Arabidopsis thaliana: one gene and its partner. The protein of the gene in region 1 interacts with the protein of each later gene in a pairwise test. Each region holds a gene or a part of one and is shown in the gene's direction. Other genes may lie near its edges. The genes, in order: AT4G14103 and AT5G07490.

Region 1 (3,929 bases):
TATCTCCCGAAGCTTAAGACGCTTTATATTGACTCATGCTATTTTGAAAAGTATGGTATTGGGCTTACCAAGCTTCTTTCTGGTTGTCCCATACTTGAGGATTTAGTTCTTGATGATATACCTTGGTGCACTTGGGATTTTGCCTCGGTGTCTGTCCCAACTCTCAAGAGACTAACGTTTAGCACGCAAGTGCGAGATGAGTTTCCAAAGAGTGTGTCTATTGATACTCCGAATCTTGTCTACTTGAAGTTTACTGACACTGTTGCAGGCAAGTATCCGAAAGTGAATTTCGATTCGCTTGTTGAAGCTCATATCGATCTTAGATTGTTACAGGGCCATCAAGGTTATGGTGAAAATGATATGGTTGGCAATGCAACAGATTTTATAATGCGTATATGCAATGTGAAGACTCTCTATCTATCTTCCAACACTCTTCAGGTTTGTTTTCATCATGAAAAACAACTTGTAATCTTTTTAACATTGTTCAAGGATTTGAGTTAGTGATTGCAATTGAGTGATGATAATCTAGTTGTTGTGGTTGTGTTTCAGGTACTTACTTACAGTTGTGATGCTATACCAATATTCAACAACCTGACTCATTTAACCATCGAGAGTAATCCCGAAGTAGGATGGCAGTCATTGCCAGGTTTGCTCAAGAATTCTCCAAATCTTGAAACTCTTATCTTCCAAGTAAGAAACAAAACCCTTGGAAAGCATTTGTTGACTCAATTTTTCAAAGTTTAAGAATATTTCACTATGTATGTTTCAGGGCCTCATCCACAAAGCCACCGATAAATGTGGAGACGTGTGCTTGTGCAAACCTCGTGAGGAGATTCGCAGTTGCTTAGCATCAAGTCCGGTGAAGGTTATAAAGATACTGAAATTTGGTGAAATCAGTGATGACATGGAGAAGCAGAGAGAGCAGATCAAGTATTTCTTGGAGACAATGCCGAATCTTGAGAAGATGATTTTGTACTACAATACAACAAGTGTTGAAGATGTAACTGAAGTTTCAAGCCGGCTTCAGAGGCTAGTTTCTAAATTAGCTTCATCGACGTGCATTGTCCAACTAATCTCTGATAACCTCAGCTTGTCATCTACTGTATCGACAAATGGGCTCCTCTGTTTCTAAAGGGTACCTCTTCGGTTTGAAGATGAACCTCTTTATCTCAGAGATGATTACCAAAGCTTAGGGAGTACCCTAGCTTGTCGTCACTAAAATAATCTTCTCTTGTTTCTGCCTAATTATGTTCTAAAGACGTGTTATTTAGGCTTTGTCCTTATTGACTTGCAATGTTAACTTCAGTTTTTTCTTGTTACAGTTGGTCTGTTGTGTAAAATGATCTTGTAAGAGTAATTGGTAGGAGTAAGCAGACAACAAAAGCTGAAACATCCCTTTTGTGTAAAGATCTGCAACAAAACCGAATTAACATTTTATCTAATCAAACAAATAAAACAATTATCGCTAAATCAAATTATGTCAAGTAATGTTTTTGTAAGATGCTAGTATATCTGATTAAATATATTATTTTATCTAATGGAGCTCAAAATATCTTCCAAAATCTTACAAAATCTTTTAGCCTTTTAGGACAAGACACTAAAAAAAGGCTAGCCTAGGAAGTAGGAACTCACACTTTCTTCTTCACTCTTGCCTACAAATACAATCGCCAAAAACCCTAAATTTCTACAATAGTTGAGTCATTTTGGTGAGCTATCTTCACTTTAGCCTACAAATACAAGTAAGTTTCAATATCGATCTTTTTATTTTTTCAAGCTAGCGTGTTTGTTTGTTTGTTTGATTCTTAGCTTCTCGGTTGGAACACGTAGAGGAAGATTGAATCGGTCTCGTGTCTTTGGTTTTCAGGTTGTTGAAAAGGATGGATCTTAGTGGTTCTAGAGATGTAATCAGTAGTTTACCGGATGACATTAGTTCCCATATCTTGTCCTTCCTCCCCACTAAAGAAGCTGCTTCCACTTCGGTTCTTTCGAAAAAATGGCGGTATCTCTTTGCTTTTGTCCCTAATCTTGATTTGGATGACTCTGTTTATCTGAATCCTGAGAATGAGACGGAAATTTCTACAAGTTTTATGGATTTTGTGGATAGAGTGTTGGCTTTGCAAGGTAATTCTCCTCTACACAAGTTCTCTCTAAAGATTGGAGATGGCATTGATCCAGTCCGTATCATTCCTTGGATAAATAATGTGTTGGAACGGGGTGTATCCGATCTTGATCTACACCTGAATTTGGAATCAGAATTTCTGCTTCCTTCACAAGTCTACTTGTGCAAGACACTGGTTTGGCTGAAGCTAAGGTTTGGGCTATATCCCACGATTGATGTTGAAGATGTTCATCTCCCAAAGCTTAAGACGCTTTATATTGAGGCAACCCATTTTGAAGAGCATGGTGTTGGGCTTACCAAGCTTCTTTCTGGTTGTCCCATGCTTGAGGATTTAGTTCTTGATGATATATCTTGGTTCATTTGGGATTTTGCCTCGGTGTCTGTCCCAACTCTCAAGAGGCTAAGGTTTAGCTGGCAAGAGCGAGATGAGTTTCCAAAGAGTGTGTTGTTAGATACTCCGAATCTTGTATACTTGAAGTTTACTGATACTGTTGCAGGCAAGTATCCGAAAGTGAATTTGGATTCCCTTGTTGAAGCTCATATCGATCTTCGCTTGTTGAAGCCTCTATTGATAAATTACCATCAAGGTTATGGGGAAAATGATATGGTTGGCAATGCTACAGATTTTATAATGCGTATATGCAATGTGAAGACTCTTTATCTATCTGCCAACACTCTTCAGGTTTGGTTTCAGTCTATCCCGCTTTTAAATTTATGTTACTTAGAAGAAGACAAACAACCTGTAATAACATTGCTTAAGGATTTGAGTTAGTGATTGCAATTGAGTGAATCTAGTTGTTATGGTTTTGTTTCAGGTACTTACTTACAGTTGTGATGCTATACCAATATTCAACAACCTGACTCATTTAACCATCGAGAGTAATCCGAGAGTAGGATGGCAGTCAGTACCGGGCTTGCTCAAGAATTCTCCAAATCTTGAAACTCTTATCTTCCAAGTAAGAAACAAACCCTTGAAAAGCATTTTGTTGTCTCATTTTTCAAACTTTGATAACATTTCACTTATGTATGTTTCAGGGCCTCATCCACAAAGCCACATATAGATGTGGAGATGTGTGCTTGTGCAAAAAGCCTCGGAAGGAGATTCTCAGTTGCTAATCATCAAGTCCGGTGAAGGTAATAAAGATACTGAAATTTGGTGAAAACAGTGATGACATGGAGAAGCAGAGAGAGCAGATCAAGTATTTCTTGGAGACAATGCCGAATCTTGAGAAGATGATTTTGTACTACAATACACCAAGTGTTGAAGATGTAACTGAAGTTTCAAGCCGACTTCAGAGGCTAGTTTCTAAAGTAGCTTCATCGACATGTATTGTCCAACTAATCTCTGATAACCTCAGCTTGTCATCTACTGTATCGACAAATGGGCTCCTCTGTTTCTAAAGGGTACCTCTCCGGTTTGAAGATTATCCTCCTTTACTCAGAGATGGATTGACAAAGCTTTGGGGGAGTAAGTACCCTAGCTTGTTATAGTCGCTAAAATGATTTTCTCTTGTTTCTGCGTAGTTCTGCTCAAAAGATATGTTATTTAGGCTATCCTTTTTGGCTCACAATGTTAAACTTCATTTGTTGTTTGTTTTAGTTTGTCTGTTGTGTAAACTGATTTAGTAAAGAATTAAAAGAGAGTCACATATTATCAGAGGGTCCGTAGTAAAACAAGAGATCACTAGTTTTAAACGGCAGATTTCGAAACTTCATCGCTGCCTTCATTGGAGATGGCATAATAGGCTGAGAGGTTGAATCCTTCGCGGGGTCCAGGAATGAAGCTTCCGTAGTCAGCATCTGGTATAGA
Region 2 (3,612 bases), on another chromosome or scaffold:
TGTTTTTCTTTCTAACCTATGGGTTTTATGATTAAAAAAAAAAAAAAAACAGTTTTGTTGCCTGTGTATTAAAGAAATTTAGAACTGACTTAAAAATAAACTATTTCATGATTTGACCATCTTTTATCTTAATTTATTTTATATAATGGAATAGGTTGAGGATTTACATTGTATAATTAAGAAAGACATAATTACTGTTCTGTTTTGTTTTACGTTTTTTAGACCATGTCTATCACATTTTGCAAGTACTAATCGTCTATTATACGTATTTAAGTACACACACGTGTTTGCGTTTTTGTGAATAATTCAGGGAAAAAATGGGAAAGTTCTGCGAGGAAGTGAGGAAACTATCGATAGAGTTAATGGGAGCAATAACGGAAAGCCTAGGTCTAGGGAGAGACTACCTGTCGTCTCGGATGGACGAAAACGGCATGCAAGTCATGACAGTTAACTGCTATCCACCCTGTCCGGACCCTGAGACGGCGCTAGGCCTGCCGCCGCATTCAGACTATAGTTGCATCACCCTCCTTCTACAGAACTTGGACGGTCTCAAGATCTTCGATCCAATGGCTCACGGTGGATCTGGCCGTTGGGTTGGTGTCCCACAAGTCACAGGTGTACTTAAGGTGCGTTTCAACTGTACCGGTTTAGACGTAAACAGAAATAATTGAAACGTTTAGATCCAAAACAAAAAATGTAATCACCATGCATCTTCGCTCTTTTTTCTTTATTTAGGTCCATATTGGTGACCATGTGGAAGTTCTAAGCAATGGATTATACAAGAGCATCGTTCATAAAGTCACTTTGAATGAAGAGAAGACGAGAATCTCTCTCGCGAGCTTGCATAGCTTGGGTATGGACGATAAGATGAGTGTACCGCGCGAATTGGTTAACGATGAAAATCCGGTTCGGTATAAAGAGAGCAGCTTTAACGATTTTCTTGATTTTCTTGTCAAAAATGACATTTCTCAAGGGGATAGGTTTATTGACACTCTCAGAATCAAGGACTGATTAAGAGGACAATAAAATAAATACAGAATAAGAATAAAGGACTGATCAGGTCTTAGCCCGGTTTGGTTTGGTACACGGTATGACTCAGTCCATGTCCTTTTGGCGTTTAACCTGTGATAACGTGGAGATGTATATCAGAGACATATATACGTGTTAAATTGTAATGTAAGATATATAATTAGCATATCATTCTCTCGATTTCCAAATATTCATTGAAATCAAAATACCACCCAAATATGTATGTGCGCGTCTAATTTAGATTATTTTTATTAAATATTTTTCTATTTACAAATAGAAGAAAAGAAATATAATATGCATGGTTAATTGGTTTTTTTTTTTAAACATAAATATTTTAAAAACATAAACCCTTTAAAAAAAAAAACCTTTAAAAAAAAACATAAATATATGTATATAATAATTCGAAAAAATCTACGTAATTAATAACGAGTGAGATTCATTCAAGAATTTTGACAAAGTCCTAACATCGATCTGGTCCATCTGTATTTACCAAAGGCGTAGGCCCTAAATTCGCCACCAAATATTTAATAAATTTTTAAGGGGTGTTTGTTTAGTAAAGAATTACGATTTTTATCTGATTTGACACAAAAGTATCTTTTAGCCTTAATTCGTTACGTTGTAAAGACACTGATCCAATCCCTTCTACACAACAAGATCGGATTATATAGACCCAATATGTACAGATCCGCGAGCTGGAACCGTGTGACCGAGGATTACTCGGTGCCTTGGTCCGCACCAAAGGGATTATGGAAGGGCTTAGACGAAGACGAGCCGGCTCCATACGATCCCACTGGCCAAGAGATGACTAAGAAAGAGAAGTCACGTACCAAGTTTGCTGAAAACGCCGTTCACATAATCCCTTTTGTCCTTCTTGCTTGTGCTCTCGTCCTTTGGTTCTTCTCTAATCCAGGTTTGTTTACAATTATACACATTGTGTCCCTATTCATGATCTTAGGCTATCATATATATTTGCTCGATTCTCTATGCGTGCAAACAAACCATCTATTTGAGAATGTTGCATCTTCTAGTCTTTTTGATCCAGTTATTTACTTGTGATAGAAGGCCATGAATCAAGTTTCCTTAAACACATAATCTTTCTTTTTTAAAATCAATTCGGAACTCACATGATAGATATGTGTAACGTACATACATATTTGATACTCTTAAGTAGATTTGTAGCGTCAAATAAAATGATTGCACATTTTTTTACGTATAGATGTAGATGTTGGGGTGAAAGGGGACTCCATTGCGGCTAGGATTGAAGGATTAACGATCGAAGGAGACATTGACAATGACAGCGACGGAACTCAGACCGGATTCTTAGGAGCCGCCACAGAGGTCGGACATTCAAAAAATAAACTAAAACGCGAGGCTAATAAACGCAATCGGAGGATACAAGCTTCAAGGAAAGTGATGAAAGGTTTTTATTAATCACCTTTTTGTTTGATAAATATTTACGAGATAAACTTTCAAAACGAATTATTCTTTTTTTTCTTTCTATTTTGATTGCGCATGTTAGTTGATCAGGAGATGTGTTTCTTTGGTTAAACTTTTATATTTAGTTCTTCACATTATCTTCAAGATCCACAAGAACTACTTTCACTCTGTATTGACGCCTTTCTTTTTGATTAATCTGCTACAACTTGGAGGACAGCGGTTTGATGTTTAAAAAAGACTAGGGAAAAAAGTTTAAACGTTACCATTTGTGCATGCAATTGCTTCTTTTCTTTTCAGAAAAGAATACGCGTCTTTCCAAAAAAAACCTTGTAAACTGGCATAAATTCTGATTAAAAACCGTCACTTTATAGATCTGCCAAAAATAAAGACATTAATCTAGTGTGTAAAGGCTCTAAACAAAAAGAAAACAATTATATCCGAATCCAATTTTTCTATAACATGATTTTAGATTCAACTGTTTTAGCTACAAATTAGAAAGAAATTATTTTTTTATCTAAAATTCATAGCTAAAACAGTTAGAATCTAAAACCATATTTTAAAAAAAGTAGATTCGGATATGAAATGATGAAAAAACTTTATTTTCGTACGATTCTCAATTTAAAAAGATGTATTTAACGTAACAATTTTCGGATATAACAAAAAAGCGATTTGAATAGTAGATGCGAGGAAAAAGTTTTGTTTTTGTCTTATCTTCGGTCCGAGAAAATGTATTTAACGCAAAACTTTTCGGACATAAAGAAAAAACGATACGAATATCAAGTGCACAGAAAAAACTTTATTTATGCCTGATTTTCGCTCCGAAAAAATGTATTTAACGCAAAACTTTTCGGATCTAAATAAAAAAGTGATAAATAAGCTTTTTATGGTGATAATAGTATGCTGTATAATCATTTCCTACTTCGATCAAATTTATTACGACTAAAATATAAATTATGGAAATGACATTTGCAAACTATTTCTATTGTCTTTGGATTTAGCAATGCTCTCACCAACCTACCAAGATTGCAAAAGAGAAACGGCTGTCGAGGATTTAAAGGATTCCTCTCGACACGTGTGCCAGATGGTGCTCCTCTCCTCTTTATTATTTTTAAGTTCTTCTGATTATCACTTACACGTGTGCCTTCT

What was found.
Region 2: the proteins of AT4G14103 (region 1) and AT5G07490 interact in a protein complementation assay, tested with the Arabidopsis thaliana proteins (one large-scale study listed by BioGRID).

What each region holds. Positions count from the first base shown.
Region 1 is NC_003075.7:8,125,071-8,128,999, forward strand, and holds AT4G14103 (F-box/RNI-like superfamily protein), read left to right. Parts: upstream 1-1,844; 5' UTR 1,845-1,877; coding exon 1,878-2,801; intron 2,802-2,934; coding exon 2,935-3,075; intron 3,076-3,154; coding exon of another isoform or gene 3,155-3,235; exon of another isoform or gene 3,236-3,253; coding exon 3,254-3,520; 3' UTR 3,521-3,763; downstream 3,764-3,929. Other genes in the region: AT4G14096 (F-box/RNI-like superfamily protein), read left to right, coding at 1-438, 550-690, 770-1,132; AT4G14104 (capsid-like protein), read right to left, coding at 3,810-3,929.
Region 2 is NC_003076.8:2,368,544-2,372,155, forward strand, and holds AT5G07490 (uncharacterized protein), read left to right. Parts: upstream 1-1,589; 5' UTR 1,590-1,704; coding exon 1,705-1,939; intron 1,940-2,245; coding exon 2,246-2,460; 3' UTR 2,461-2,783; downstream 2,784-3,612. Other genes in the region: KUOX1 (KAR-UP oxidoreductase 1), read left to right, coding at 311-626, 736-1,011.